Linked DNA regions of Saccharomyces cerevisiae S288C. Changing the gene in region 1 together with any one later gene gives a genetic interaction. Each region holds a gene or a part of one and is shown in the gene's direction. Other genes may lie near its edges.

Evidence for each region.
Region 2: of FZO1 (region 1) and OM45, extra expression of one rescues a mutant of the other (dosage rescue), as found in Saccharomyces cerevisiae (one study listed by BioGRID).
Region 3: of FZO1 (region 1) and MLS1, changing one suppresses a phenotype caused by changing the other (phenotypic suppression), as found in Saccharomyces cerevisiae (one study listed by BioGRID).
Region 4: of FZO1 (region 1) and ECM19, a mutation in one rescues a mutant of the other (synthetic rescue), as found in Saccharomyces cerevisiae (one study listed by BioGRID).

Annotation. Positions count from the first base shown.
Region 1 is NC_001134.8:584,155-593,889, reverse strand, and holds FZO1 (mitofusin), read left to right. Parts: upstream 1-4,775; coding exon 4,776-7,343; downstream 7,344-9,735. Other genes in the region: SMP1 (Smp1p), read left to right, coding at 1-384; 40S ribosomal protein eS6 RPS6B, read left to right, coding at 1,116-1,121, 1,474-2,178; DTR1 (Dtr1p), read right to left, coding at 2,431-4,149; EHT1 (medium-chain fatty acid ethyl ester synthase/esterase), read left to right, coding at 7,728-9,083; ECM31 (3-methyl-2-oxobutanoate hydroxymethyltransferase), read right to left, coding at 9,232-9,735. UniProt on the Saccharomyces cerevisiae protein: Essential transmembrane GTPase, which mediates mitochondrial fusion.
Region 2 is NC_001141.2:90,047-98,034, forward strand, and holds OM45 (Om45p), read left to right. Parts: upstream 1-3,572; coding exon 3,573-4,754; downstream 4,755-7,988. Other genes in the region: TMA108 (Tma108p), read right to left, coding at 1-2,742; VHS2 (Vhs2p), read right to left, coding at 5,019-6,329; YIL134C-A (uncharacterized protein), read right to left, coding at 6,476-6,679; flavin adenine dinucleotide transporter FLX1, read left to right, coding at 7,349-7,988.
Region 3 is NC_001146.8:404,792-413,282, forward strand, and holds MLS1 (malate synthase MLS1), read left to right. Parts: upstream 1-1,566; coding exon 1,567-3,231; downstream 3,232-8,491. Other genes in the region: DCP2 (decapping enzyme complex catalytic subunit), read right to left, coding at 1-773; ubiquitin-conjugating protein DMA2, read left to right, coding at 3,550-5,118; YNL115C (uncharacterized protein), read right to left, coding at 5,328-7,262; DNA-directed RNA polymerase core subunit RPC19, read left to right, coding at 7,980-8,408. UniProt on the Saccharomyces cerevisiae protein: Malate synthase which takes part in the glyoxylate cycle. MLS1 activity is essential for cells to grow on oleic acid as a sole carbon source.
Region 4 is NC_001144.5:901,358-908,664, forward strand, and holds ECM19 (Ecm19p), read left to right. Parts: upstream 1-1,708; coding exon 1,709-2,047; downstream 2,048-7,307. Other genes in the region: STE23 (metalloendopeptidase), read right to left, coding at 1-1,303; CCW14 (Ccw14p), read left to right, coding at 2,367-3,083; ART10 (Art10p), read right to left, coding at 3,392-4,948; ATP10 (Atp10p), read left to right, coding at 5,722-6,561; SUMO ligase CST9, read left to right, coding at 6,593-7,307. UniProt on the Saccharomyces cerevisiae protein: May be involved in cell wall organization and biogenesis.

The DNA of each region.
Region 1 (9,735 bases):
AAGCTCTCAGGGAAGCCATATTTAAAGCTAAATATTCCGAAGGCCACAAATGACGCTTGCCAGAGGTCGCCAGCAATGTATTCAGGAACCGCATCACCGAAAACGGATGTACAAGCCACTCCCAATCAAATGCTCGCCAGCAACATGTCCTCCCCTCTTTCTCGTTCAAAGTTTTTGGGATTCAAGAACAATGATATGGACGACTTATATCATAATGGCCGATGTGGCAGCACTTATGTAAATAACAAAACATTCTTTCTGAAACCGCCAATTGGAAGACCGCCTAAATTTCCGAAAAGCCCGTCTTCATCTATTGTGGTTTTTCCTTCCTCGGTAGCTAGTTCAACTTTGAAATCCACGAGTTCGACAAACTCTCCAGATTAATGAATCGCTTTCTAGCTACTTTTTACTACAAGAAAGCATTCGCTTAAAATTAAGAGTGTATGTTGGCGCATTTAGGCAAACGTCTTCTAAATTAGGGCTATAGACAATTATGTCGCTCGTACATTTTTCAGATGTAGTGACGCAAATTTCTAGCAATTTGCAGGTAGTGCTCCACGGCCCCCTTCCAATTTTTGTGCACTCAATCGATCAAAACAATAGAGACTGCCCTGTTAACTTCTCAACATAATTATGTAAAAAATTATCTCATTAAGCCAGATAGCAAATATATCACATATTGCATTGATTAATTTGAGAAAAATATACATGTATCTTTTCAGTTAATTTTATTAAAAATAAATTATTTCCTTACTTTTTTTTCTACAGTTTGCACCATTAACCTCTTTTCTTGCATCCATACATCTTTGAACTCCATACATCTTATTTTTTTGCTGTTTTTTTTCAGTGTCTCGGGCATACAGGCCGCTTATCTTCATGCCGGCCCATCATCCTAGGAAACTCTTTCGGTATGGGCCAAGGGCAGGCGAAAATCCTATGTGCGTGGAGCTGATACAATCTCGGCTGGCTTGGTTTGTAGGGCACGGTCAATGAATGCCTGATGGGAGAAAAATTCATCTTTATGAAAAGTGATCTTAATTTGAATAGTGTGCCCTTCAAAACATTTGGAAGTCATTAATTGAAACTATCCAGTGTGAATAGACGACTGAGCCATCATGAAGGTATGTAATATCACCCAAATCCTTAGAATTCTAATGAATCAGCACGCGCTAACCGGCTGTTTCTGACTGTTTGATAAACGTATACCCACAAATTAGTGCACTATAATAAAAATTCTCAAGAACAACGTTGTTTAAACGAGATAATTCCCTCTAATATACACGTACCGACACTTAGGAAAATATCTCGCTAAGTTCAAATTAAGGAATGAAAAAGGAATTTACGAAAAGGGTTTAGAAATATCAATGAAAATAAGAAAAACCTGTAACGGAAGAAAGGACAGCAGGGATTCGTTGGAATTTGTCGATATTGGCTTCGGACAACTTTACTAACAAATGGTATTATTTATAACAGTTGAACATTTCTTACCCAGTCAACGGGTCTCAAAAGACCTTCGAAATTGATGATGAACACCGTATTCGTGTTTTCTTCGACAAGAGAATCGGTCAAGAAGTCGATGGTGAAGCCGTTGGTGATGAATTCAAGGGCTACGTCTTCAAGATCTCTGGTGGTAACGACAAACAAGGTTTCCCAATGAAGCAAGGTGTTTTGTTGCCAACTAGAATCAAGTTGTTGTTGACCAAGAACGTTTCTTGTTACAGACCAAGACGTGATGGTGAAAGAAAGAGAAAGTCCGTCAGAGGTGCCATTGTTGGTCCAGATTTGGCTGTCTTGGCTTTGGTCATTGTCAAGAAGGGTGAACAAGAATTGGAAGGTCTAACTGACACTACTGTTCCAAAGAGATTGGGTCCAAAGAGAGCTAACAACATCAGAAAGTTCTTCGGTTTGTCCAAGGAAGATGACGTTCGTGATTTCGTCATCAGAAGAGAAGTCACCAAGGGTGAAAAGACTTACACCAAGGCTCCAAAGATCCAAAGATTGGTTACTCCTCAAAGATTGCAAAGAAAGAGACACCAAAGAGCTTTGAAGGTCAGAAACGCTCAAGCTCAAAGAGAAGCTGCTGCCGAATACGCTCAATTGTTGGCTAAGAGATTGTCTGAAAGAAAGGCTGAAAAGGCCGAAATCAGAAAGAGAAGAGCTTCTTCTTTGAAGGCTTAAGTATGTCTTGGACCTGCATAATTTTTATACTTTTTCCTTTTAGATATATGTACTTTTGGCTTAATTTAATATAATTAACTATAACTTCGATTTTATTCTTTGAAGGTCCAAATGCACGTAATTCATAAACTTATGATGCATTGTTCTATTTCTTGAAGTCCTTGGGATGAGTGATGAGAAAATTTTCTTGAAAGTTAAATAATATAATAAAATTCTAAAAGTTAAATTTTATAGCTAAACATAAACTATTTCTTAAAATTCTTTGGCAGTATATTTTCTTTGAAAAATGAGAAGATATAATATACCAATCAATGAAATTGAACTGCAGAGACCGAGCCCTGTAAAACACCATCCAATTCCCATTGCGTTACAGAGCTGTAAAATGATAGCGGAACTAATGGCAGCGCCCACATTTCGAAAGAAACTACTAACAGCAACAGTTCCAGCAGCTCTTTTGGGGAATAACTCAGTTAAATATGTCATTGATGTGTTGCTGCACCAGGTCATACCAAAGGCAGTGAGAGCGGAAAAAACTAAAAGAACCACAAAATGATAATGAAAGAAGATTGCCCATCCGTATCCTATTGTGCCACATATTGTTAGTAAAATTCCAATTAGGTTCAGTAATAAACGAAACTCTGCCGGGAATTTCTTTTTAGGATGACTTTTGATCCAGCGTGAACGAAGATAATCTGAGAGGTGCCCACCAGATTGAGATCCTAGTAACATAGCTACACCTGGGCAGACATAAGCAGCACCAATTTCTAACATAGTAAAACGGTAGTCATGTTCAAGGTAATACGAAAACGTGACGCTGAACGCATAGTAACTGGAGAACAGGAGTGCAGTACTGACGGACGTGATTATTATTGGAGGACATTTAATCATTTTCCAATATAGTGTCAAACCTGCTTTAGGCGGCTTTGGAAAATTTTCTTGGAAGAAAGCATCATTATTGACTGGTTTACGGATACCAATGTCTGGGAACAGACGCCGATGTGATATTTTATTACCTTCGAAGAATGGAGATTCGTTATTTTCACGTTCATCTTTTTTGTCACCCCATTTAGGGTCTCCATTACCAACTATACAACGTAGCGTTTCTGGAAGTAAAGCAGTAACCAAGATCAATGCTATTCCTGTCATGATAGAAGTGAAACCAAAAAGCCATCTCCAGTAATTTCCTTTCATTAAAATAAGCCCAGCAACAATGGGTGCTATAATAGGACCCATGTTTGGACCCATCATGAAATACGCTATGGCCTTTCCCCTGTGTTTTGGAGGAACAACGTCTGTTACAGTGCCAGCTCCCAGAGAAATCACAGAGCTGGAAGCGAAAGCTTGGAAAATTCTTAAAACAAAAAGGGCAGCAATATTGACTGGTACAGCGGCCAAAAGTATATTAACAATTAACATTAGTGATAACGACACCATATATAAGAATTTCCTTCCACCAAAATCCGCCAGTGCGCCCCAAAACAATGGACCAACGGAAAAAACAGCCATAAATACAGAAACTGTAGCGTTTATTGTTGTTGCACTTACATCATATTCCCTTTGCAGCAATGGTAAAGCCGGTATATATATGTTTCCAGACATTGGGCCCAAAAATCCTATAAAAATGATAATTCCAAAAATGATTAGTCTTTGATCCTTGGAAAAATAAGTATATGGAATATGTGCTTGAGTATCAGGAGAAGGGTCTCTTGACTGGGAGTTCGATGACTTTACAGCAACTTCCTCTTCTTTTGTTTTTGCTTTCTGTGCTGACAATGATGGGGAAGAGTCAGGGTGCTCATGAAAGACATCATGATCTATATTGGCTCTCTTTTGGTTCACCTGATCCCAGCTTTCATTAATTACATCATCTCCTAGATCTTCTAGCGAATGAAATGTTGAGCGGGTTGTTCCACTTTCTTGCGAATTAATTTGCAGACCCAAATTCTTTTTCTGAAACGGTTCGCTTCCCATTGCCTTAATTCTTTTCCCAGCTCTTGAAACTCTTTTTTGAAAAATTACCAACAACAACTTTTCTTACTACCATCCTTCTAGCCTTATCAATATTCTCATATATCTTAAAATTGCAATTGTTGTTACAAAGGAGTTTGTGTCGTTTTTCACCAGGTGACAGAATGTCTGGGTTGAAAGTATCAATGAAAAAAAAAAATGTAGAGAGATGCCAAAACAGTGGCCAACAGGCAGCTTTGGCTACGGAAATGATTTGGAAACCTGCATAAGTATTTCTCCGCGAAATTGGGAAGAGTGATATGGATAGTTGTGATCCACGGTATATAATTCCTTGTGATCCCTTATCTGGCAAGATAGCTATAGTATTACTAATACGTGGCGCTAGTATAATAACTCGCGCAAAGACCGAACGGAGATTAATATTTAAAAGTTGGTGCGCAGTCCGGGTAAATACAGCTTTTCATGCTGAAGAATATGGCCGGGCTAATATTAATTAAGACGGACGATGCATTATTGAAACAGGATAACGCAGGTTACAGTAGCCCTTAATAAATAAAGCAAAGTACATCCGAACATAGCAACATTATCTGATATCACGGATAGAGGCAAAACGGTAGGCTCATTTAACGATGTCTGAAGGAAAACAACAATTCAAAGACAGCAATAAACCGCACAAGGACTCCACAGATCAGGACGATGATGCCGCCACAATAGTACCACAAACTCTTACTTACTCACGCAACGAAGGTCATTTTTTAGGCAGTAATTTCCATGGAGTAACTGATGACCGTACCACTTTGTTTGATGGTGAAGAGGGGCGTAGGGAGGATGATTTGTTGCCCTCATTGCGTTCCTCCAACTCAAAAGCACACTTAATTTCTTCACAACTTAGCCAGTGGAATTATAACAACAATAGAGTACTTTTAAAAAGATCTATATTAAAGACACAAGCTTTTATGGATCAACTTCAAGAAGAAAATAATATTCGCCCGATTTTTATTGCTGCAAATGATGAACGGGAAAAATTACATGTTCTACAACTGAATATCAAGCTAGATGGTCAGTACAATACCAAAGAAAAGAACGGTTTCAACATTGAGAAAAAAGCTTTATCAAAATTATTTCACTCTCAGATCGTATCAGTGACAAATCATTTAAACGCTTTGAAAAAAAGAGTGGATGACGTTTCATCTAAAGTATTCATCACAGGTGATGTAAATACTGGTAAATCAGCTCTTTGCAACTCTCTATTAAAGCAGCGTTTGCTACCTGAGGATCAGCTACCATGTACCAATGTATTTTCCGAAATACTAGAGGCTCGGGAAAATGACGGCATAGAGGAGGTTCATGCCATACCACTAAACATTGCTCCGACTCTCAAGGAAGCCATTGATATGTATTCAATACAAAATCCCAAGACTTATGAAATACACACTTTGAAAGAACTTCCCGATTTGGTTCCCCAAAACGGAAAATATGCTTTACTGAAGATTTACATAAAGGACGATAAAAGGCCTGCCTCTACTAGTCTATTAAGGAATGGTACTGTTGATATTTCATTAATTGACTCCCCTGGGTTGAACATGGACTCGTTACAAACCGCCGAAGTAATGTCCCGACAAGAAGAAATCGACTTAGTTATATTTGTTGTCAATGCAGAGAACCAGCTAACACTATCTGCCAAGGAGTTTATTTCTTTAGCATCTCGTGAGAAAAAATTAATGTTTTTTGTTGTGAAAAAATTTGACAAAATCAGGGACAAACAACGTTGTAAGGAGTTGATCCTAAAGCAAATCCGTGACCTGTCCCCAGAAACATATAAACGTGCAGCTGATTTTGTCCACTTTGTTTCCAAAAACGGAGATGAATTGCCACATTATCATAATGAAAATGACAATGAAGATCATGGTGACCGAAAACCTGACGACGACCCATATTCTAGCAGCGATCCCGATCCGGATTTTGACAGTCTGGAAGATTCTCTACGCAATTTTGTTTTGAAGAAAAGATCACTTTCTAAATTGTTACCTGCCAAGACTTATCTATCGAAATTATTAAGCGATATAATAATGATCTCCAAATCTAATATGAAAATGTATAGTGAAGAAGAAATAAAAATTAACGAACAACTGGAAACATTGAGACCTGAAATTTTGAGCGCTAGAGCAAAGTGCAATGATTTAACAACTTCCGTTGATCAAATGGCCGAGCAAACAATTACAATGACTTATAACAATACTAAAGAAGCACTTCTCAATGCGTTGGATGTTCCGCTACACGAATATCCGAAATATCAGGGCCTCGGTCAAATTTATGACTTCATATTTTCAACAGAAGCGTTCATAGCAAATCAGATTGATGAGTCAATAGGATCAAGTGAATTATTTGCCAAGCAAAAGACAGATTTACTGGTAAAAAAAATTTATGAGATTGGAAAAAATGAACTTGGTGATGATTTCATGTGTGAACGTGTTTTCAGAAGCGAACTAATGTTTAGAAAAAGGAAGCATTTGATAGGAAAAAGGCTTAAAGTATCTTTGTCAATAACTGATTTGTTTGCTCCAACTTGGAAAGGCTTTTTGTCTTACTTAAGCTGGCAGAAACCTGTCACAGCACCACTGCCGGATATAGAAGGACAAACTAACGAGGGTCAGATTGGCCTAATGAAGTATTTGGGTTTGAAAAATTATCCTTTGACACAATATTGGTCAAGACCATCATTGCTCTTCACATCAAAAATTCCCACTCTAACGCTGTACTTTCTAGGAAGTACAAAGGTTGTGGGGAACATTATATTAAACGGCATTAAATTATCGTCGTGGAGCTCACTCAAGAAGTTATCAGTTCCGGTTATAGTGGTAGGTTCCTTGTTGGGACTTACGTATTTAATTCATGACCTCCCCCGTGCCTTACCAATGAATCTTTCCATTAAATACAAAAGAAAGTTGCAAGAACTGGATTACATTCATCTTAACGCTCAAAGAACCTCAAATGAAGTACGTGATGTTTTGCGTGTACCTACACGTGAAATTCTAAGGTCGTGTGAAATAATTATGGATAAAAAACAAATCACTAAGAAAGAATTGGAAAACAAAAAAGAAAGTAACTTGTTGTCAATCAAATTCTTCCAATCTCTATACGAAGGAACCGTGGCTCAAAAATTGATGGTGGAAGAAATAAATTTAGACATCGATTAGATATTCTTGTAAATATATGAGGTCTTTTCAAATCAATATACATAATGTTACTTATTATTTTATTCCAAGCAGGTCCATTTTTTTTTTCACTTTGCACGAAATTACATAAACATTAAAAGGACCCTTGTGTATCTGCTTAATGATTTGCAAAACCTGCGGAAACGGAACGAAAAATGAGCAATCTCGTTCCGGTTCCGAGATCCTTTTTTTTTTTTAAATCTTGCGCATGTGCAGATTTTAAAAGGCGTCAGATATCGGATGTCCCTGGAAGTAATAGCTCCTCGAGTATTTCCTCCGTTTATTATTAATATGAGCAGTTTTTTAAGTTCTATTATTACATTGATAGTAGTTGCGTAAAAAACAAAGCTCATAAAAGTTTCCGATATGTCAGAAGTTTCCAAATGGCCAGCAATCAACCCATTCCATTGGGGATACAATGGTACAGTTTCGCATATTGTCGGTGAAAATGGTTCCATTAAACTCCATTTAAAAGACAACAAGGAGCAAGTTGATTTTGACGAGTTCGCTAACAAATATGTCCCAACGTTGAAGAATGGTGCCCAATTCAAATTGAGTCCTTACTTGTTCACAGGTATTTTGCAAACTTTGTACTTAGGTGCTGCTGATTTCTCTAAGAAATTTCCTGTATTCTACGGCAGGGAAATTGTCAAATTCTCGGATGGTGGAGTTTGCACCGCTGACTGGCTCATAGATTCATGGAAAAAGGATTATGAATTCGATCAAAGTACTACGAGCTTTGATAAAAAAAAATTTGATAAAGACGAGAAGGCGACACATCCAGAAGGATGGCCTCGTTTACAACCACGTACAAGGTACCTGAAAGATAATGAGTTGGAAGAACTACGGGAGGTTGATCTACCCCTAGTAGTTATTCTACATGGTCTTGCTGGTGGTAGTCATGAGCCGATTATAAGATCTCTTGCTGAAAACCTGTCTCGCAGTGGGAGATTTCAAGTGGTCGTCCTAAATACCAGAGGTTGTGCACGTTCCAAAATTACCACCAGAAATTTATTTACAGCTTATCACACAATGGATATTCGCGAGTTTTTGCAAAGAGAAAAGCAAAGACATCCAGATAGAAAACTATACGCTGTGGGATGCTCTTTTGGTGCTACGATGCTGGCAAACTATCTGGGAGAAGAGGGCGATAAATCACCTTTATCCGCAGCTGCTACTTTGTGCAATCCTTGGGATCTTCTCCTTTCAGCAATTAGGATGAGCCAGGATTGGTGGTCAAGAACTTTATTTTCCAAAAATATTGCGCAATTCTTAACAAGAACCGTTCAGGTTAATATGGGTGAATTAGGAGTTCCAAATGGCTCTCTCCCCGATCATCCTCCCACAGTCAAGAATCCATCTTTCTATATGTTCACGCCTGAAAATCTAATAAAGGCAAAGAGCTTTAAATCGACCCGGGAATTTGATGAAGTGTACACTGCGCCTGCTTTAGGCTTCCCAAATGCTATGGAGTATTATAAAGCGGCCAGCTCAATAAACAGAGTTGATACAATTCGGGTTCCTACCCTTGTTATCAATTCCAGGGATGATCCTGTTGTCGGCCCAGATCAACCATACTCAATCGTGGAAAAGAATCCTCGTATTTTGTATTGTAGAACCGATTTAGGTGGTCATTTAGCTTACCTAGATAAAGACAACAACTCGTGGGCTACCAAGGCAATTGCAGAATTTTTCACTAAGTTTGATGAATTAGTCGTATGATGTCACACAATTTTCAAACCACTTTCCTATGTATTTATACAACATTGGATCAATGCCCCTTTATTTTAAGTTATGTATTTTTTGTTGTCTTCAGTATACCTAAAATTTAAAGTTTTTTTCCCTATGCAGTGATTTTTATCTATATATTTTACTTTTCGTTAATTGAAGAGAGGAATTCATTCCATAAGTCCTCCTTAACTTTGAAAGTATGAGTACCTCTCTCAGGAAATGTCCTATCCTCTACACTTGCAATGTACTCCTTCAAGCCCTGAGTGGCAATATCTGTCATATTTACAGCTTGCTTCACAAATTTTGGGACAGAATCGCCTTGCATCCCGAGAAGGTCAGATATAACTAGAACTTGTCCACTGGTACCGTTACCTGCACCGATACCTATTGTTGGTACTGAGAGTTTAGATGTTATGAACTGAGCCATCTTATGGGGGACACATTCAATCAGGATAGACCAACAGCCAATTTTTTGTAGTTGCATGGCGGTTTCATACAGCTCCTGCATTTGTAATAGACTTTTGCTACCTTGCACTTTATAACCTCCAAGTGAATGAACTTTTTGGGGAGTTAGTCCTATATGAGCCATAACAGGTATACCCCGGGAGCACAGTTCTTCAATAAATTTCATTGCATATTTGTC
Region 2 (7,988 bases), on another chromosome or scaffold:
CAACTTCTCTTTCTCCAAATTAATAAACTTTTCTATCTTCTGTGGCTCGTCTGCTACAAACATTTGAAAGATTATCAGGGAAATACTCCTTAACGCCTTGTGTAGATGATCCCCCGTGGTGGTACCTTTCCTTGTAGCCTTCCGTGCCCATTGGTCAAAATTGCCCATATACCACTCCCAGATCGTTTCACGAACGACTTGGTCTTGAGGTTTCTCGTTTTTGTTCAGCCTCTTCTTAAAGTTGTAATTAAATCCGAATAATGCCAGTTCCATCCCCTCTGACTCAATATTGGAAGTGATAAAATTCAAAGTTTTTTTCACGATATCAGAATCTAAACAGAATCCAAGAGATTCTATTGCACCGTTTTGAATCAACATGGCGGTTTCGCTACTGTTTTGGTCATACATATTAATGACATGGTTTGTGATACCAGTACAGGAACTGCGTTTCACCAAATCGAATATTTTCTTCCACTGCTTGATGTTTGCACAATGTTGCGATACGACGACAAGGATTGAGTTCACTAATTCTAACGGTACGCTCGAACGTGGGCCCTGTAATAGATGTTTAAAATAAATTTGACACAATTCAGCACATTTTGCGGAGTTTTTATTTAAAAACAAGACTTGAGACATGACTTTCAACTCGTGAGGGTTTGTGCTTTTATCAAATTCACCGTGGGGCCAATCAATCTTATTGAAAAGGGGAATGACAATTTTTTTCTTTAAGAAAGATTGTAATTTAGAGCTCGTTAAACTGGCACGATCGATCGTTTGCAGAACTTCCAACCCCTTGGAAAGAGGATCCCAATATTTTGATGCAATCTTTGTGGAAGGAGAAGCGATATGGTTTAGTATCTTAAAGAGACCGTGCAAATGAATAGAATTCTGGAAACCCTCATCTCCAATAAACTGCGACAAGTCTAAGAAAATCTTCCGAAGGTCAATCTCGGATAACGTCTCCTCAGTTATTTTATCATTAATCAATGCATAGCACTCTTCGGACTCATATGAAACGCGGTAATAACCTTGGGCTAAATGGTTAATTACTAAGATAGGATAATCGAACTTTAAGGTCCTATCCGTCAATAGTACATTTTTAGTATCCATTTTACCATCTGGCAGAACCCCGAATAAGGGTACCTGATATGGGACATCTTCTAACTGATCCTTTTCTTCAGTAGATAATTGATTGATAAATCTGTGTTGAGTCAATTTTGTTTGCGTTTTCCCGTCTTTCTCTTCTACTTCGACCTTAACGACAGGTAAGCCTGGCGTTCTTGTCCAAGATGAAACAAAGTTTGTAATATTTTGAGACTTCAAAAATTTTCCGATATGATTCCATATATCCATTGGTTTGACGCTTCTCGCATGAAATGTTTTAGTATCTTCAAATACACTTTCCAGGCCCTTTTGTAGATGAGATTCGCCTGTAGCCAATTGCAGGGACCTCAGCATGATAATACCCTTTGTGTATGCCTCAGGATCAAAAATATCGGAGGTTTGAGAATCTATGCCAGTGTTCCGTTGCGCAATCTGAAATATGCTTCTTCCATTAACGTCAGCTGCATCTCTGCACATGGTCGGCTCCACTTGCTGTAGTAAATAAGGTTCCGAGGTCCAATAATGGGATAGGTCACCATTCTGTTCTAGTATGTGGCAAGCTAACCAAGTAGCGAAAGACTCATTAAACCAAAGAGATTCCCACGAGTCAAAAGATATGTAGTTGCCCATCCATTGATGAACGAGTTCGTGGACAATGAGTTGCTGTGCTTGCTCTCTGACGGTTTCATTGGCCAAGGCATTTGGTGGTATGAGCAGGTGGTTTAGTTGGATGGTGATCATACCAAAGTTCTCCATTGCCATGTCACTTAAATATGGTAGTAGGACGAAATCTAACTTTGGCAGAGGGTATGGACATTTAAAATAGGATTCCAACAAAGGTAGATATTTCTGGACTGTATCTAAAGTGAAAGCTGCATTAGCAATATCCCAAGGTGCATAAATTGAAACGGGAATAGTCCTATCACCTTCCAACTTGATTTCCGTTTTCAAAAATTCTAAATCACCAATAGAAAAACCAAATACGGAAGTAGTCATCAAAGGTGTCTTGGCAAATTTCACCAAATGTTTTTGAGAACTATCCAAAGCTTCGACCATCTCTACAGGAGTATTGGAAACGGCTTTATATTGTGCATCCGTTGCAATGTTCAATTGAAAAGTGGACTTGTTTGAAGGCTCGTCAATACATGGGAAAATATTGCTAGCGGAAAACGGTTGGCAGTGAGTAGCAACGACGTGATTATTGGCAGTACCGGTTTTACGATCCATAAAATTGGTTTTGAAAATACCAAAAGTCTTATCATGATGTGTTTTTATGTCACGAATTTTACCCACGTATTGCACGGACAAAATCAGAGGGCAATCGTTGGACAATTGAATAGGAGATTCAGAGTTGAAAATCGACAAATGCTTTCCAGTGTCCTGAGAAATTTTTAGATCAAACTTAGTAGACCCTATGGTGGCATGTGCAGACAACACAATCAAATCCTTGGAATGTAACTTGAACTGGGTAAAACTGTCTTCGATAGAAGCTAAGGTGGTGGAGTTCGGATTGAATTTCAAATGGATTATGGCGGATCCTTTGAAATTGGGCGACGACTGCTTAGGGTCAATTTCTAGACGCAACTCATAGTGACTAGGCACCACCGGATTCTCTAAAGATAACAAATTATCAGACATGATGGTTAGTGATGATCAACCTGGCGTTATATATCCTTTACACGTCTTCGGACCTTTTTTTTGTATAGCACATCCAGGAATGGTTTGACTGCAAAACTCGTTTTTCACTGAAAAATTACCGGCGAATTGTATAATAGAAAGGATCGATTTATACTAAAGAAAAGAAGGATTAATATACAAGACTACAACCAAGGGTGGTACCTCACTTGAAGGGGGTTCTCAAAGTACTCGAGAATTTTGATATTCTGTCCTGTGTGTGCTGAGCCGTTCCAGCCAGTCTTGTTCCAGAAATATGTTGACAAAATTGAAGTTCGTAAATATATATACATTTCATATAATAATTGACAAGCTGATACATACGGTGTGCGGACGGTTACATTAATGCAGGAATCTATAAATGCTATGGCCAGCTGGCGTCCTTCTGTTATGCAGATTTCTTAAAATAATTGGCATATTGGTGGTAAACATGAAATGTGAAGACGTTGCCCCTCGTCATAGGTAAGCGGTGGTCATCACAACCATCAGCGGTGACAATAACACAGCAAACAGTCTTGTTTGACTCTCCTGCCTGCATGGTGTTTGAAAGTGAATCGTCAGGATTTGCAACAACCAATAGTGTACTGCTATTCGCAGGAGCACAAGCTCGCCGGTGGCCCGTGTGGGTTAAGGGAGGAGTTTGTTGACCCTTATTTTGTCGAGTTCCTTGAAGAGGAGTATATATAAGGGGAAACGGTTCTTGCTAAAGTCCTGCTTCTTTGCCCTTTCTTGAAATAAAGGGTATTTTTGATTGGCCAGTAACGTTAATCATTTAATAAAACAAGCAGATAAGGATGTCATCAAGAATAATTGTCGGCAGTGCAGCATTGGCAGCTGCCATCACAGCTAGCATCATGGTCAGAGAACAGAAGGCCAAGGGTCAGAGAAGAGAGGGCAACGTCTCCGCTTACTACAACGGCCAGGAGTACGGCAGTTCAGCACCCCCACAGTTGGGAAAGCTACATAACATAAAGCAAGGCATAAAGGAAGATGCCTTGTCGTTAAAAGACGCGCTTCTGGGCGTATCTCAAAAGGCTAGGGAAGAGGCTCCAAAGGTAACTAAGCGTGTGATATCACCGGAAGAGGATGCTCAGACACGCAAGCAGCTAGGCCAAAAAGCCAAGGATTCTTCCTCGCAAAGCATCTTCAATTGGGGGTTTAGTGAGGCTGAAAGAAGGAAAGCCATAGCCATCGGGGAATTTGATACTGCTAAGAAGCGTTTCGAAGAGGCAGTGGATCGTAATGAGAAGGAGCTCTTGTCCACGGTGATGAGAGAGAAGAAGGCCGCTCTGGACAGAGCATCCATTGAGTACGAAAGGTACGGGAGAGCCAGAGACTTTAATGAGCTTTCGGACAAGCTAGACCAACAGGAAAGGAACAGTAATCCTTTGAAACGCCTGTTGAAGAATAACACGGGTGACGCTAATACTGAAGAAGCCGCTGCAAGAAGTGTCCAAGGCTGGGGTGATACGGCACAGGAGTTTGGTAGAGAAGAGTTGGAGGAAGCCAAGAGAAATGCTTCTTCAGAGCCAAGCGAGGCGCAAAAACGTCTTGACGAGCTGAAGAAGATCAAGGAAAAGGGCTGGTTTGGTTACAACAAAGGGGAGCAAAGCGAGCAACAGATTGCTGAACGGGTAGCCAGAGGTTTAGAAGGATGGGGTGAAACAGCCGCTCAACTTTCCAAGGACGAAATGGACGATTTAAGATGGAATTATGAGAATTCAAAGAAACAACTGGATAAGAACGTGTCCGATGCCATGGACTCGTTATCTAAGGCGAAGGAGGACTTGAAACAGTACGGCAGCCACTGGTGGTCTGGATGGACTTCCAAGGTCGACAATGACAAGCAGGCTTTAAAAGATGAGGCCCAAAAGAAGTACGATGAAGCGTTGAAAAAGTACGATGAAGCCAAGAACAAATTCAAAGAATGGAATGATAAGGGTGATGGTAAATTCTGGAGCTCGAAAAAGGACTAGTTAGATAGCTAATTGTAAAGGGTTGGTTCCCGCATAACATATATACATATTCACATGTTTCTCATTTTTTATATTTGAAATCACATATGGTCTTTGCTGATTATGGATTGGAAAACGGAGTAAATTAGTGGCATTATTGGGGTATACGTGCATACATAAAATACCGTTATATATCTATATATATGGAAAAAAGAGACTTAAATGAATTTTTAGAGTAGGAGAAGAAGGTTGAAGAAATGAACAATCGCGGCCCTTCAGTTTTCTTTATTTGGTTGTGTCTGGATTCATAGAGGTTATTGTAGAGTTTGAATTTGATTTTGAACTTGGATTCGAGTTTGTGAACGCAGGGCTATTTTTGATGTTATTATTAATAGTATTCTTGTGTTTATTAGTATTATTGTGATTATCGTTAACCATGTTGGCAATTGATGGTGGTTGTGCCAGTTGTGACTGCAATTTTTGCTTTAGATTGAGTTTATCTCTTTCAATCATAGTGTTGTCCTCCTCTTCGGAAGAAAACCCTTCACTGCCACTGGATTCCATATGGAATTTGGATTTAGGTTTCCCGATCATAATGTTGGCAGCACTGCCGGGCCTATTGCTGTTTCTTCTTGAACGGGCGCTCCCTGAAGGTGACCTTTGTTGTTTAAGTAAGTACTGTTGGTTCGATGGCGATCTTGATAGTGCGGCCCCCGTAGTGCTTCCAGCGCTGGTTCCCCCATTGGCATTGTTGATCGTTGTGTTAGAGTAACGTCTAGATATGATGAAAGGGTTGGTGAAGTTCATATGCTGAGGTGGTGATGCCGAAGCTGATGGGGGGGAAGGCAAATGAGAAGGAGAATTCAAAAGGGACGACGAGAACGAGTAGTGACCTTGCATTGGGGGTCTTCTCAAGGGGTTCGCAGTTGATGATGTTGATGTCGCATTACTAACGTTGTTATTGTTGTCATCGGACAACATGTCAGCGTAGGAATAAAACCTTAGTAGTCTTGAACCATGGTCGTTGGGAGATCTTGGATGCGCAGGCGACGTTTCGTTATCAAAAGATTGTGACGAAAGACTTCTTGTCCTACCTAGGGCTCTATCCAGGCCGATGGTAGATGGCCTTCTCGAATAAACCATATCAACGTCATCAAGGCCAGTCGTGTCGTCAGTTACAATAGAACAGCCAGCGTCTAATGCAGGAGGGACGAAATTCTCTAAGGTACGACGGTGATCCAGTGGAGTCTGCACAACAAAATCCGGATTGTATGTCTGGTACGATGCTATTGACTCATTAGTCCTAGAAGGTTGCAAATGTAGATTCACAGCAGACGATCTCTGGCTTAAGTTATGGAAGTTCCTATTACTAGAATTATTATGATTGAACAAACTGGTCCTGCTGCTCTGCCTAGAGAGAGAGTTTGCAGCGTTGTTTGACACCGTTTTATAAAGGTATGATGGGTCCTCTACATTTCTTTCAAAAATCATAGAACTCTCGCTCATGGAGGGGGAAGGTGGCATATAATTATTGTCGTTCTCCCTCTGTGCCGCCACGTGGGAGTCGTGGTCTTGGTTGTGGTTGCTGGTATCCATCTTTGCCGTTTACGTTCGCTTTGCTTGAAGGTAGTCTATCACAAAAGCTTTCAGGATCAACCTTTTGCGCCTCAAGAAATTGCATATCACCAAAGGGTGAGTTTAGTCTGATACTGTTTGTTAATCACCTCACGACTGTTGCAACATTAATATGGCGCACACACCGTGTTACGTGATGAAAATAAAGATAATAAAGCGATAGCATAAATAAAATACCATTTAATACGCTTTGTAAAACAAGCACTAACAAGGCGTTGCTTAATAACAAAATAGTCAGCATTCAACAACGTGAGAAGGATAGCTACGACATCTACATCTGCAGTGTTGTTAAATTCGCTGCCAACAACCATTTATATGTCACCATACACGGTCATGCTCTCTTGCACCATTTTTCTCACCTATATAAAGTGAAAAAGTTTTCGATGTCTCTTCTTCCTTCCTAGTAAACTACACTCCATGTGTTTCTGAAAGGGACCTTCAGGAGGTTACGATCAAGTATCTTGTGACATGCAAGAACTTGATGCTTCGATGGGGGAAGTCTTATTTTCAATGTGTTGAAAAGAGTTAATTATGGAACGGTTGGTCATAGCTTTGTACAGCTCAATGTCGTCATGTTTGTAAGGATACAGGCGCGACTTGATCTGCGACTTACTGCTATCAAACGATAAATTATGTTTTTCTTCGTTTCCTTTTTTTTTCTTTTCAGTTTCCTTCCGTTTATTTTTTTGTTGGATTTATCATGATGAGCATTTATTTTACTGCGTTATCGTATTGACGGGGGCTGTTTAAGTACAGTCTGTTTTATAATCTATATTCATTTATATTTTATATTTCTTACCGAGGAAATTGACTCTTAACAGATTTGCTGAAAGGTTCATCTTACAAAAAAATTGGAAAACTTAAACTGAAAAAAAAAAAGTGAAGGAGTACGTGAAGAGCAGTAGCTTTCATAGGAATATGTACAATATCTTGTCTTTGTACTTTGCAAAACCAGCACGCAGCAGGAAGCTCTTGATAATATGGTCGATCACCAGTGGACGCCACTGCAGAAGGAGGTTATCTCAGGTCTGTCCGCGGGATCCGTCACCACATTGGTAGTGCATCCATTAGATTTACTGAAGGTTCGTTTGCAATTATCCGCTACAAGCGCACAAAAGGCCCATTACGGCCCATTTATGGTAATCAAAGAGATTATACGTTCGTCGGCGAATAGTGGACGTAGTGTTACGAACGAACTGTATCGCGGATTAAGCATAAATTTGTTTGGAAATGCCATTGCATGGGGAGTTTATTTCGGTTTATATGGTGTCACGAAAGAATTGATATACAAGTCAGTGGCAAAGCCAGGGGAAACACAGCTTAAAGGTGTTGGGAACGACCACAAAATGAATTCGCTTATTTATTTGTCTGCCGGTGCTTCCAGTGGGTTGATGACAGCTATCCTAACAAACCCTATCTGGGTTATAAAGACCAGGATAATGTCTACAAGTAAAGGCGCCCAAGGAGCGTACACTTCTATGTACAACGGTGTCCAACAACTGTTACGAACTGATGGCTTCCAGGGCCTATGGAAGGGCCTTGTACCCGCACTGTTTGGTGTTTCGCAAGGTGCCTTATATTTTGCAGTTTACGATACCTTAAAGCAAAGAAAATTGCGAC
Region 3 (8,491 bases), on another chromosome or scaffold:
AACAATTTCAATTGTTCTTCCGCATAGGATTTCAATTGATCTTCATTTTTTATTTGCCTCTGATGCCTTAACCACATTGATAAGGGTCTCATCATGGAATTAATCAGATAATACTTGATATTTGATTTGTACATTGTTTTAGAAATTTTCTTAAAATCGAACCATTCTATCTTATCAATTTCATTTCTAACTTGAGGTTTAAAATTGAAGACTTCTGAAACACCAGATATCAAAAATATTTTGTAATTTTTACCTTGAATATTTCTTTCAATGAATTGGTTGTCGTCAATATAGTCCGTCAAATCGAAACCAATTTCTTCTTTCACTTCTCTAATGCAACAATCTATGTCATTTTCATCTTTAGATATCTTCCCCCTTGGGAATGACCAAGAATCCGATTCAGTACCCTGTACCAATAAAATTTTACTCAGGTTCTCGTTAAATATGGCAGCGCCCCTCACCGGTATACTTTTCTTATACTTGGAGAATTGCTGGAGTGCCTCATCCACTCTTATGTCCCATTTCCAAACCAGAGGACATAGTTTTATGATCAATTGAGCAAATGATTTAATCTTTAGGGAGGGTAAAGTTGGATTCATCAATTTGATGAAATCCGTGTAAAACCATGAGGCTTCTTCAAAATGAAATAACTCTCTCTCGACACTCGATAAATCTTCATTCGGACAATTTATAATAAAACGTACTAATAAGTCCTCTAAAATTCTATCAACAGAAGTAACGTTCTCCAATGCGTGTCGTAGCGGCAGTGACATTGTCTAATGCGAAGGTACTTTTATTTTTTTCAGATTCAAAGCAATATTATTTAGACAATTGATACTAAGTGAGCTTAAGGAGGATTAAACAACTGTGGAATCCTTCACAAGGATTCAATATTTGTTTTTCCTGGTTATTTTGCCATCATTCAACTTTCCTCAGACGTAAAATTCGTGCTTAGTGATGTCTCAATATTCCCGCAGGGTAATAAAATTCAATAACTATCACTATATACGCAACAGTATTACCCTACATTGCTATCGGCTCAATGGAAATCCCCATATCATAGCTTCCATTGGGCCGATGAAGTTAGTCGACGGATAGAAGCGGTTGTCCCCTTTCCCGGCGAGCCGGCAGTCGGGCCGAGGTTCGGATAAATTTTGTATTGTGTTTTGATTCTGTCATGAGTATTACTTATGTTCTCTTTAGGTAACCCCAGGTTAATCAATCACAGTTTCATACCGGCTAGTATTCAAATTATGACTTTTCTTCTGCAGTGTCAGCCTTACGACGATTATCTATGAGCTTTGAATATAGTTTGCCGTGATTCGTATCTTTAATTGGATAATAAAATGCGAAGGATCGATGACCCTTATTATTATTTTTCTACACTGGCTACCGATTTAACTCATCTTCTTGAAAGTATATAAGTAACAGTAAAATATACCGTACTTCTGCTAATGTTATTTGTCCCTTATTTTTCTTTTCTTGTCTTATGCTATAGTACCTAAGAATAACGACTATTGTTTTGAACTAAACAAAGTAGTAAAAGCACATAAAAGAATTAAGAAAATGGTTAAGGTCAGTTTGGATAACGTCAAATTACTGGTGGATGTTGATAAGGAGCCTTTCTTTAAACCATCTAGTACTACAGTGGGAGATATTCTTACCAAGGATGCTCTAGAGTTCATTGTTCTTTTACACAGAACTTTCAACAACAAGAGAAAACAATTATTGGAAAACAGACAAGTTGTTCAGAAGAAATTAGACTCGGGCTCCTATCATCTGGATTTCCTGCCTGAAACTGCAAATATTAGAAATGATCCCACTTGGCAAGGTCCAATTTTGGCACCGGGGTTAATTAATAGGTCAACGGAAATCACAGGGCCTCCATTGAGAAATATGCTGATCAACGCTTTGAATGCTCCTGTGAACACCTATATGACTGATTTTGAAGATTCAGCTTCACCTACTTGGAACAACATGGTTTACGGTCAAGTTAATCTCTACGACGCGATCAGAAATCAAATCGATTTTGACACACCAAGAAAATCGTACAAATTGAATGGAAATGTGGCCAACTTGCCCACTATTATCGTGAGACCCCGTGGTTGGCACATGGTGGAAAAGCACCTTTATGTAGATGATGAACCAATCAGCGCTTCCATCTTTGATTTTGGTTTATATTTCTACCATAATGCCAAAGAATTAATCAAATTGGGCAAAGGTCCTTACTTCTATTTGCCAAAGATGGAGCACCACTTGGAAGCTAAACTATGGAACGACGTCTTCTGTGTAGCTCAAGATTACATTGGGATCCCAAGGGGTACAATCAGAGCTACTGTGTTGATTGAAACTTTGCCTGCTGCTTTCCAAATGGAAGAGATCATCTATCAATTAAGACAACATTCTAGTGGGTTGAATTGCGGACGTTGGGACTATATTTTCTCTACAATCAAGAGATTAAGAAATGATCCTAATCACATTTTGCCCAATAGAAATCAAGTGACTATGACTTCCCCATTCATGGATGCATACGTGAAAAGATTAATCAATACCTGTCATCGGAGGGGTGTTCATGCCATGGGTGGTATGGCTGCGCAAATCCCTATCAAAGACGACCCGGCAGCCAATGAAAAGGCCATGACTAAAGTCCGTAATGATAAGATTAGAGAGCTGACAAATGGACATGATGGGTCATGGGTTGCACACCCAGCACTGGCCCCTATTTGTAATGAAGTTTTCATTAATATGGGAACACCAAACCAAATCTATTTCATTCCTGAAAACGTTGTAACGGCTGCTAATCTGCTGGAAACCAAAATTCCAAATGGTGAGATTACTACCGAGGGAATTGTACAAAACTTGGATATCGGGTTGCAGTACATGGAAGCTTGGCTCAGAGGCTCTGGATGTGTGCCCATCAACAACTTGATGGAAGACGCCGCCACTGCTGAAGTGTCTCGTTGTCAATTGTATCAATGGGTGAAACACGGTGTTACTCTAAAGGACACGGGAGAAAAGGTCACCCCAGAATTAACCGAAAAGATTCTAAAAGAACAAGTGGAAAGACTGTCTAAGGCAAGTCCATTGGGTGACAAGAACAAATTCGCGCTGGCCGCTAAGTATTTCTTGCCAGAAATCAGAGGCGAGAAATTCAGTGAATTTTTGACTACATTGTTGTACGACGAAATTGTGTCCACTAAGGCGACGCCCACTGATTTGAGCAAATTGTGATCTCCCTTGCCCCAGTGTACACATATATAAAAATATATTCATGCCTATATGATTATGTATCGGAATCCAAAAACTTATCTTTATATTGCTTCGTTTCGTAGTTAGCAATGAATCATCTTATCATGATTCCTTTTTTTGTTTTGGCCAGATTAATGTATCACGGTCGACGGCGAAGGCATCAACCATTGTTGTGGAATTTCAAACACAATACTTGATGACTCCAAACGTGGGCATATATTTTGATTTGAAAAGAAGTCGAGAAAGTATAGCAACGCATTGTATACGTTTGAAGCTTTCAGCAAAGGATATACCGTGGAAATGTACACGCCTATCCCTGCTAATACCCCTGCTCCCACTGCACCAACTTCATCGATGACGTCCAACTCTTCATCCGCATCAAATGCCAACACCACTAGCAGTAGTGGCATAAACCCAAGGAACAGAGCCAGTGGTACTCCATCCAATGAGCGGGCTCGTCCGGCGTCGGGTATCAGTTCGTTTTTGAATACCTTCGGAATTAGGCAAAATAGCCAGACAGCTTCTTCTTCTGCGGCTCCTGATCAGCGTCTATTCGGCACAACCCCATCTAACTCACATATGAGTGTGGCCATGGAAAGTATCGATACCGCTCCGCAACAGCAGGAACCACGTCTGCATCATCCTATACAAATGCCTCTGTCGGCCCAGTTCCACGTTCATCGCAACTATCAACTCCCCATCTCCATATCTCTCACTGCCCCTACAACCACAGACCACCAGCAATCATCTGCGCATAATTTCGAAGGCAACAATGTTGGTAACGTTCAAGAGTCTTTGAATCAGCGGCAGCCTAACGGTACTAACAATACCACAACCTCGATAATTTCCATGGCGCCAGCGGCTACAACGAGAAATATAGTCGGTGGTGCAGATGGATCTACTATTGTTAACAACAGTCAGGAAATGTATAAGAATTTACGTCACTTGATATATGCTGCAAACCAGCCAAATGGGACCGAAATTTTACATTTGGATTTACCTGCAACAAGTGCAGAGGAGTCAAACAATATGTTCAATGTAGATGAGGTCACTTTGAAGCAAAGGAAAGATAAGCATGGTCTTTTTAGTATAAGACTAACCCCATTTATTGATAGTTCGTCCACGACAAATCAAGGTTTATTCTTTGAACCGATTATAAGAAAGGCTGGCCCTGGATCCCAATTGGTTATTGGCCGCTATACTGAGCGTGTTCGCGATGCAATTTCTAAAATACCTGAACAATATCATCCAGTTGTATTTAAATCCAAAGTTGTTTCAAGGACACATGGTTGTTTTAAAGTTGACTCTCAAGGTAACTGGTATATAAAGGATGTGAAATCATCTAGTGGAACTTTCTTAAATCACCAAAGGCTCTCACCCGCTTCCTCTTTATCGAAAGATACCCCTCTTCGTGATGGTGATATTTTACAGTTAGGAATGGATTTTAGAGGTGGCACGGAAGAAATCTATCGTTGTGTAAGGATGAGGATTGAGCTAAATAGATCATGGAAACTAAAGGCAAATTCGTTCAACAAAGAAGCTTTACAGCGTTTGCAGAATTTACAAAAATTAACTACAGGTATTGAAGAAGAAGATTGTTCGATTTGCCTATGTAAGATCAAACCGTGTCAAGCAATTTTCATATCACCATGCGCACATAGCTGGCATTTCCGTTGTGTAAGAAGATTGGTCATGCTCTCATATCCGCAATTTGTTTGCCCCAACTGTAGATCAAGTTGTGATTTGGAGGCCTCCTTTGAAAGTAGTGACGAGGAAGATGAAAGTGATGTGGAAAGTGAAGGTGATCAACTGGTGGATCAACTTAGCGTCTTAATGGAAACTTCAAAGGATGTTGATAGCCATCCTTAAGGTCAAAGAAAATACACAGTTTGAAAAATAAAGAAAAACCACCGAACTCCACATCTCGTACCTTAATATTATTTTAATTATTCTCTTAGTATTTATATATTTGCGCCGTTTACATATTTGACTTATTGTTTTCAGGAATACAATACCTCCATCGTTGGCAGTCAATTTTGCTTTCACATATAAAACTAAAAAAAAAGTAAAGAACTCGGTTAATCCTCGGTTAGTTTGCCAAGCTCACCTATTAATCTTAATAGGACTTCTTGAGTTTGTTGTTTGCCCAGACCATACTTATATATTTCATGCCCACCTTCAACTATTTTCCATTCTTGAGTCTTGTGAGAAATTTTGGTCAAATCTCTTTGCCAATCGCCCCATAATGCCGACTTCTTCACCATTTCCTTAGAGCTAACGATGCTTGTCTTCACATTTTGCAAAGATTCTGCATTGTTTGTCACATCTCTGTAACTTAGAATTGAACTCGTCACGCTTTCCAAAAACTTGGAACGCAAGAAACGTCCTTGATATTTCATATCACGCCCATATATACGTTCTTTAGACCCATGATGAGCTAGTAACCATGAAGTCTGTAATCTCCATCCTAAACTCGACCAAATGCCTTTCCACCATAATCTAAATTCGTTATGCCTTTCTATCTCCGAAGGTAACCAAGTCTTATCATGGTTGCGGCCATCCCCATCATTACCATTGCCATCGTCGCCATCGTCGCCATCACCACGGCCTGGAGGTAGTAATCTTTGAATGTAGTTTTTTAACAATAGTTCTTCATGCCATGATTCAACAAGCATCATGCTATCCACAATATCGACATTCTTGGCGGTAAATACTCTTGTAAATAGCCCGCCAAGGTCGTATCCTACTGTAGTGAAGGGACCTTTAATTTTTGCATCTTTGATCAATGCGTACCTTAAAGATTCCGCAACCATCGCAATAGAGATTGGGGCGGGAGGAGAATCGCTCAACCCGTACCCTGGTCTATCGTATAGACAATATCTTTGAATTTTGTCTAAATGATATAGTTCCTCAATCCAGGTGGCAGAAAGGTAACCAGTATCATAACCTCCGTGTTCAAACAAGATGATAGGTTGCTTCTTATTTTCAGACAAATCTGTGTTGTTTTCTTGATCAAATACGTCACCATAACAAGTTATATGCAACTGATAGGTTTTAGCGGCATCTACGTAATGGAACGCCTCGTACGAGGGCGACTGAACGGTTATTGGTAATTTGTGAGTCAATCTGTAGGTATCCAATGTCGTTAAAAGTGTATTCAGGGTGAATAAAGCGAAGAATATTAAAATTAAAAACTTAATAGTATTCCTGAACCCAATGGATACCCATTCTGTCAATGTATGTTTGTTTTGGACCAGCTGCGAGCGGTGGGTGGGGGTTGGCGACCCAGAGCCATATTGGCTTCTGTCCCTGTTTTCGGTACTATTTGTATGGTTTTCGTTGAAAGTACTAATATTAGCATCATCAATTCTGCGTTCCTCCAATGGCTCATTTATTGAGTTGTTGTAAAACAAGAGATACCAATCTAATATTGCCCCAATAAAAAATGAAAACGAAGTCCACAAATATGTAAACGTGCCCACAAAGCCGATTCTTTGCCTAGTGTATTTAATTAGATAGGTCAATGCTAGATTGAACAACGTCAAAACACAGAGAGTTACATTTAAGCTGTAATCTAAAGCTGAGTACAGTCCCAGCTTATTAAACCAGAGATTGAAAGAATTAGCTATGATCGAGATGAATATTAAAGTCAAGTCGTTAAAACTTGCGTACCTGTTACTGAATCCGAAAAGAATATTGATATTGAAAAAGAAATCTGAAATCAAAGTGGTGACTAGCCAGATGGTGTTAATTAGAATTAGGATATTTAATATCCATTTGGAGTTATGAATAAAGATTCTATAACCTTTGCGAATTTGAAAGAGACTATCTTTGATGAACCCATCGGATTCAATGTCACGACCTTCATTAACTGCTGGGCCATTCGCGGATCCTGCACCAAGGGTCCGGTGGTTGTTGTTCAGCAACGGTTGCGCTTCTGGGTGTTCACTATCTATATCTGTTCTTTCCATTCCCGTCCTTGCCGGATCATTATCTAAACCATTAGCCTTCATGATCTGTTCGCTCTGATGCCTACAGTTCTTTCTTCAATGGCTTTCCTTTCCTTTCCTCCTTATAGAATATAGCAAGGCATCTAACTTTTAGTTTTTCTCTCATCCCTTTAAACTGCACGATGGTTAAAATTAGGGGTCCGAATAGCCTTGCAAGGAATAGATTAAAGAACACTATATATGCATAGCCACTTCAAAACGTGCTGAGAACATGCCATCAAGGTTGACCAATACGATTGCTGATTCGACAACTTCTACATTACATAGGCATATACATATCAGAAAAACGTGCTTTATAGGTACATTTTTTAATTCCTTAAACATAACTTGCTTCTATTTTGGGATAGTTCCTTTTCTTTGAACTACGTTTTTTGGGCAGAAATATAAAAAAAAACCGAAAAAAACGGCACGCAAGAAAGCTTATTCAAAAAGACGCAACAATATCATAGATTATTCTAAGTACCAACAACGTGATAAACTTTGTTCTAATAAAGCTACATCTTATCTCTTCTGTACAGCTTTATTGGGGTGAATCATATTTACTTCAATCCGGGTAATGGTAAACGTAACAAGTGATAGAAATATTCACCTGCGATGAGCTGGAAAAAAAAAAAATTTCAAAAGAAAACCATACTAATGCTGAGGTATAAAGTAACGAATTGGGGAAAGGCCATCAATCCAAAGTCGGAAAAATTGAACTTCACATAAAGTACCAGGCAAATGACTGAAGACATCGAACAAAAAAAGACCGCTACAGAGGTAACACCACAAGAACCAAAGCACATCCAAGAAGAAGAAGAACAGGATGTTGATATGACTGGCGATGAAGAACAGGAAGAGGAACCAGACAGGGAAAAAATTAAGCTTCTCACACAGGCAACATCTGAAGATGGAACTAGTGCCTCTTTTCAAATTGTAGAGGAGGATCACACGCTTGGAAATGCCCTTCGTTACGTTATAATGAAAAATCCAGACGTAGAATTTTGTGGTTACTCGATACCTCATCCTTCTGAAAACCTATTAAATATCAGAATTCAAACCTACGGTGAAACGACCGCGGTGGATGCTCTTCAAAAAGGGCTAAAGGACTTGATGGATTTATGTGACGTTGTAGAATCTAAGTTTACTGAAAAAATCAAGAGCATGTAGATGTTACGGATCGACTCAAAGACCCTCTGTCACTCTGAAATTTCTAATAATTATGCACACCACGCTAGTATAGATACAGCTTG
Region 4 (7,307 bases), on another chromosome or scaffold:
TAAACTTGAAGGTAGCATTAGAGATATCTTGCAGTTCATTGAATATCCATTTTTGAGGTAGTGAGTTTTTCAACATTTCAATATACTGGAAGATCAAGACAATAACATCGCGATAGTGTGTCAACCCGTTGTCTGTTAAATCTATATCGACAGCAAAAAAAGCATTTCCTTTGGACACAGTATGCCCACCAGCAGATAGCTCATTGGCCCAGCCCAATTTTTTCAAATGTGCTAGTAATGAACCGGACCCTTCATGGCCGATTAAATGACTTAATATCCTCGGTGGCTTGGACTCCCAATGTTCCTCCATATCAGGGACAGTGAAAGAGATTTCTAGTTTTTTCAAATCTTTCACAGGACGGACTTGAATTATTTTTTGCAAATGCTCAGGCTGCATAATAGGTTCCGCATAAAGGGGTACTTCACGACCGTTATTGGCTACATCCTTGAAGAGATCATAAGTCCAATCAGAGAGAGTATCAAGGTCTTCTCTACCAAGAATACATAGCTTCATTAGGTTAGCGGAGTAAAAATTCTTATGGAATTTTAACAGTTCATCTCTAACATTTAGTCCATTTTCCTTTGGCAATGTGCCCAAAGTTTCGATGTTTCCTGTAGAAAATTTGTGATATGGATGTTTTGTATTGGTCAAAGACTTGTCTAATTGGTAAATTCTCCAAATATCATTCTGTAAGTTCTTTTTGTTTTCGCTGTTAACGGCGTTGATCTCTTTATCAGTAGAGTCCTTGTTGAAAAGAGGACAAGAGAAAAACCCTGAAAACCTGTCTAGCGCACCAAATAAATGTTGGTGATTAACCTCAAAAAAATAATTTGTGTTTTGCGATGCTGTGTAGGCATTGGATGAACCACCGTGCTTGCTTAAATAGCTCGAGTATTCGTTTTCGTCTGGAAATTTCTCAGAGCCCATGAATAAAAGATGCTCGCAGAAATGCGCCAATCCAGGTAGGTTCTTTGGATCTTCAAAGGCGCCAATATTGACGTCTAGCGACGCTGCTGCTTTATCTGCTTTTGGGTCCTGGATCAACAGAGCCTTCAGCTTATTAGGTAGCTCAATAAACCGATACGATCTTTCGTCTAAATCCGGCTTTAAAAAGTCCAGATTGAATGTCTTAAAATTGGATGTCATATTATAAGGATTTGTTGTGTAATAGCGTGATAAGCACGTGAATGGCTTGAAGCGTCTTACGGTGAAATTGAGACTGATAGGTGAGAGGTGAACCAATTGAGTGAGGAGTGGTTTAGTTACAAATGCAGAAGAAGAAGCTAAAAGAGATACGCCCATACAGAGCAATATCAAAATGAGCAAGAATGAGGTCTTCCGAATGGTTGGTTCTGACTTACTATTTGATTTCACTTTCTCTGATTCATTCAGGAAGAAAAGGGCGAAGTCCTCGAAATGAAAATTTCAACATCATTAACAGACCGGCGCGCGCCTTTACAATTTAGTATGTACGCCACCAATAAAAGCTGCTTAAACAATAAGCTAGAAAGCCCAAAGGGTGTTAAATAGTACAGCGAACCCTTCAGCAACGGTACATCAACAACCCCTTGAAAAGAATAGAGACAATACAGCTACAGTCATCCCCTTCTCTTGTATTTTTGGCCACAATTGATTGTATTACATCATATTTTGCCTGTGCGCTTCTTCTATCTTTTCCGCATAAACTAGGGGAAACGCGATGAAGAAATGGATTGGCTGAAAAATACAACAATTGTAGTGTTATTCAGTCATTCAACTGACAAAAGTAACAAACACAAGAAACGTCAAGTCCAGTGCAATATGCGAAAGAACACTTTAGATATGGTCACTATAGGTATCGCATGCCTTGTGGGAGTCTACACGGGCACGAGATTTTTCGAGCCCATTGTTATCGATAGATTGCGTAAGGATGGAAACTTGAGAACGGACATTCCCATCCCAGAATACGACGAGGACGGAAATCTGTTAAAGGTCACGCCGTCTTTATCATCCACACCAGCTGCACCACCTACACCACCTACACCTCCTACTCCACCACAACAGTAAGGAAGCGTACTAGAAAATACCTCTATACTTTCTTTTCCTGTATATAGCATCAATAGTAAAGCCATTATAACGTTACAAAAACCTATTACCCGGAAAATTACTATTTATAGAAGCATTGGACCCATGCACCACATGCATTAGGACCCATTATTTCTTTTTTACAATTTTTCCGTTAATTTTTCACGAATTTTTCACCGTTTATAAACACTCTCGAACTTATAAACAAAGGGATGATAAATAGATTTCGCCAGTTGTTAATACACACAGGGTCAAAGCTCACAGCACTACTACACTCGTTCAACACTCGTTATATATTATCATGCGTGCCACCACTTTATTATCTTCAGTCGTTTCTTTGGCATTGTTGTCGAAGGAAGTCTTAGCAACACCTCCAGCTTGTTTATTGGCCTGTGTTGCGCAAGTCGGCAAATCCTCTTCCACATGTGACTCTTTGAATCAAGTCACCTGTTACTGTGAACACGAAAACTCCGCCGTCAAGAAATGTCTAGACTCCATCTGCCCAAACAATGACGCTGATGCTGCTTATTCTGCTTTCAAGAGTTCTTGTTCCGAACAAAATGCTTCATTGGGCGATTCCAGCAGCAGTGCCTCCTCATCCGCTTCTTCATCCAGCAAGGCCTCTTCTTCTACCAAGGCTTCTTCCAGTAGCGCTTCCTCCTCTACCAAGGCTTCTTCCAGTAGCGCTTCCTCCTCTACTAAAGCTTCTTCCAGCAGCGCTGCCCCATCTTCTAGCAAGGCTTCTTCCACCGAATCCTCTTCTTCCTCTTCTTCTTCCACCAAGGCTCCTTCCAGTGAAGAATCCTCTTCCACTTATGTCTCTTCGAGCAAGCAAGCTTCCTCCACTAGCGAGGCTCACTCTTCCAGTGCTGCCTCTTCGACCGTGTCCCAAGAAACAGTCTCCTCTGCTCTACCAACTTCTACCGCCGTTATTTCTACTTTCTCTGAAGGTTCTGGTAATGTTCTAGAGGCAGGAAAATCCGTTTTCATTGCTGCTGTTGCCGCTATGTTAATCTAATTATCTATCACTTTATTTCTAATGGGTTAAGGTATCTATCTTTTATATTTCTTATTTCCTCTTCTTATATGATGCGGATGATTTTATTTCTTCAAAAAACATTTTAAAACTCCTCTTTATTTCGTTATGTTCCAGTTCACTACGACTTCTTTTCTCTTAAAGAGCAAATAAAAGTATATAAATCTATATTAAATGAAAATCAAAAAAATATTTTTTCGATCAGCTCCTTGTTCTTTTCATTTCAAAGTTTTTTACATTGTTACACATGTGCATGAATATATATGTTTGCAGAATATTTTTGGCGACGCTTAACTCGCCATTTCAGTATATGTCGGTGGCGGTACATATCTGGGCAGAGCTTCAGCTTCAACGTGCTCTCTAACTTGACAAAAGATCTGAACAGGATCAATGTTTACTTCAGATTGCTTCCTAATTCCATTGATTCCCCATTCTATCAGTAGCTGTAAACTGAATGTTCTTTTTATCGTGCATGTCTTGAAACTATACAACCTATTGCCGCGATGTCTATAGTCTTCTTCATTAAATACCAACTTTCTTAAAATGGGGTGATCCTTTAACCGTAATTCACATTCAAACATAGAACCATCAAAATTTTCTCGTATTTCGTTTAAGTCCAAAAGAGGTTTATTGGATTTGAGCTGATTCAAATCAATCTCGATTAGCTTCAAAGAAGAGTAATTGCCGTTCGCTATTCCCTGAGATAAATATGTTGTAGTCTCTAGCAAGTTCAGTTGTAGTTTAAGTGGGGTAATTTGCATTTTGCTCAAACTTGCTATATTCCCCTCCATGACTACATAGACCTTGTCAAAATTTTGGCTGCCAGACCTAAACAAGTAGTCTTTCCTGTATATTTGCTTCAAATCTCGACTTCTAACCTCTATTCTCATATTGCTTTCCCCATCAGGCAACCCCATTTTATAAGTAGATGGGAAAACTTTCATACCATTTACTAGGCGAGTAGATTGTCTTGTTGATGTGACTGATGATACCGGTCTCGATCTAATGTCGCCGTTTTCTATCAATATAGAATTAGCTTGAGAAAAGTTCCTGTCACTTTTTATATATCCGACTCCATTAACGACTTTGACGTCCTTTGATGGCACCTTTAAATTTGAACTATTGAAAAATTCATTGTTGGTGACCATACTATTTCCTCTACTATTGTTACTGAAGGCATTAAGTTCTTCATTGTCATCTTCATCAGGTTCTATAATAAGATCTTTTGGCTCAGGTATAAATTCGAACGTCTCGATTTCCCTTATCAGTTTATGGAATGGCTTAAACCAAGATGAAGATTTCCCTAGCTCTAATTGAACTTGCACCATATATATAACTTTTCCAAAAGAGTAAAAATACAAATCCAGATTATCGATTTTATTAAATTCTTGCCAATGACTATTGAACGTAGGTGGGAGTCGGGCATTACTTCTTGTCACAAACGCTACTGTCTTTGCCGTATGATTTTTCAGACATTCAGGCTTTCTGGGAAACTTGTCAAATTGAAAGCTATAATTATATGAACCTGGTTTAACTTTGAACGGCTTGGAGGAGCCATCAAGAGCATTCCATACATTATCTGGAGGGAAAACTCTCTGTTCGAATTTCATTAATGTATGAAAGGATTTGTTGTCTTGGCCCGGCATCATCATGCCATTCTGTTGAAACATGTACTCTTGATCAATTTTTGTTAAGGTCTCTGAGAATCCTTTTAGAATGACGGAAATTTTCCTTATAGATAGCGCTTTTGTTAACTGAAGACTAACTATCCCTGACATTTGATCATTAGAGCTATAAAACTCCCCGTTGTACGGTGGGTTTAAGGATATTGAAATTTTTGGAGCCATGGTTTGACAAACTGTATGGTTCTCAACCTTCTCTAATCAAAAGCAGAATCTTAAATATAAACACTCACAGAATATCCGTTGGTCAATGAAGTAATTCTCCTTTGTACTGGCTGCTTTTTCTCCTCTAGTTTATGTAATTCTACTTTTGGATGGGTGCGACTGCTTTTAATTGATTGAGTGGCGGTGTTAGAAGGGCTGTAGAGTCGAAGGCTTGTTTCTCTCTTACGCACCTCTTGTGAAAAGGGCGTGCACCTTCCCCAGGACCCTCTCTCACCCTCAACCCGCATTTTGCTGAGAATTTTCACCAAGGCCCTAGGTGATATTAGATTCCACCTGACTAATTGCATTACAGCCGACCCAAGGCAATATCAGTTTAATAAAATATCATGTATCTCACCCTCTTCTTGGTATTAGTAAAGAGACGCCTGATCTTGTAACAGTGGTGAAGATTGTACTAGAGCAGAATCAAGAATTTAAAAAGTGTAAAGGCAAGGCAGAGGCGATGTACATAAAACTTCGAAGTAAGAAATATTTAATAGTTCTCGCCACATCACTATGCAGCTATATAAAAACTACTATAAACGTTTGTTTTGTTCCTTACGCACAATATCCTTGCCTAGAAATCGTTTTTGAAATTTAAATTTTTATTACCATTTATTTGATTCGCCTTCAGAAAAATATGGAAGAGTGCATATTTAAAAAGGACTATTTCAGCATATAGTAAAAGTCAGGTTATTTGTTTATTTGCGATATCAGAGTAACTTAAACTAACTATGCAGGGCACTTTTAAAAGGTTTTACCATCCCACGCTTACGCGGATGTCCTTCTTGGATAAATTCCTCAAGCCTATGATGGCAACGGCTTCCCCAAAGGAATACCAGATCAAACAACTGGTCAAGCCAATAGGCTTAACACAAGCACCAAGGAAAAGCACCAAATACTCCCAGGGGAACTCTTTGAGGGATATGTTTGATTCGGAAAAGACAAACCACAGAGTTAAAGAGTTGGCCGTTGAATTCAGCAAATCTGGACTTTATGACGTGCAAGTCTTCCAAAAGACAAAGGGGAAATTGTTTATAGCTCCAGTTTCATATTGGAAAGAAGATAAAGCTTTGTTTTTTCCTCATTTGATAGGAACGGCAATGGATGGTACGAAACAACAGAATATCGAGGATATGTTAAGGGGTAAAACCAGTATAGTGAGGTTATTTAGTACAGCATCTGGCGATAAGTTGAGTAGTTCATACTTCCAAGGAATCGTAGACGATAACAAAAAAACTGACTACTTGACTGAAGCTGATGCGCGTTTAAGTTTAAATGACAGTAACGTCCAAATCATCGAGGTCAATCTTGTAGAAAACGCTGTGAAAAGTGCTCTAGTGAAAACGCTTGCTCGTTGGGCCAATCGCGTTCCATCCTGGCGCCAGCCATTTTATTTCGAATGTTCTAGAGGCCAATGGCCATTTTCCGTCAGGGAAGAGCTCTTTTGCAATAATGTCTTTTCTGGATACGTCTTTCTTGTGGACCAGCAGTTAAAAATTAGGTGGGCAGCTTGCGGGGAGGCTACTCCATCTGAAAAGGAAGCATTGTGGAAGTTTGCCAAACGTCTGTGAAGTTGACGCTTTGTGCGGCGGCCAACAAGGGATGGGCGGCTATTTGGCGATCGTGTTCATTCCCCAAACTAACACGAAGAGCATGAGAGAGAAAAAACAAAAGTGCTTGAAACAGGTAAGACGTTTATCATTGATATCACCAAAGAAATATATAATGCCGGATTCTATTTTTGAACAGCCCTTTGTTTACTGTGGTGTTTGCCACAGAAGAACATCGCATGGAGATCCATTGAGGCTGACCTCATGTGCTCATATCCTCTGTTCGCAGCATTCTCCATTAACATCAAAGGTGTGTCCTATATGCCGTTCGAGCGATATCTCCATCATTAACCTTGTGGAATCTAAACAGCTGCCTACCGACATTAGGATTTTTTTTGAGCCACTGCCCCCACTTTTGGAGTCGTTATATAATGTTTCCCAATTCCAACTGAATGGGCTTTCGAAACAGTGTCAATACTATCAAAATCATTGTTTAAAGTTGAGAGAAAAATGTGCAAGACAACAGCAGCTGCTATATCAGGCCAAAATAGAGTTGGATTCTATGGCGATTCTTAAGAAAAGAATACAGGAATTAGAGTCAGTTTTGAATCATAACAATGTTTCTTCGATGTCAGTTGGTGTGCTACCAACAAGAAATAGCCATCAAAATCATTACCAGCCCCCTCCAACCGTTGATCTGACAGTTGATGATAATAGTTTAGAAGAATTCGAAGCCAAATCCTTTATTAAAAAGTTGAAAAAAAACT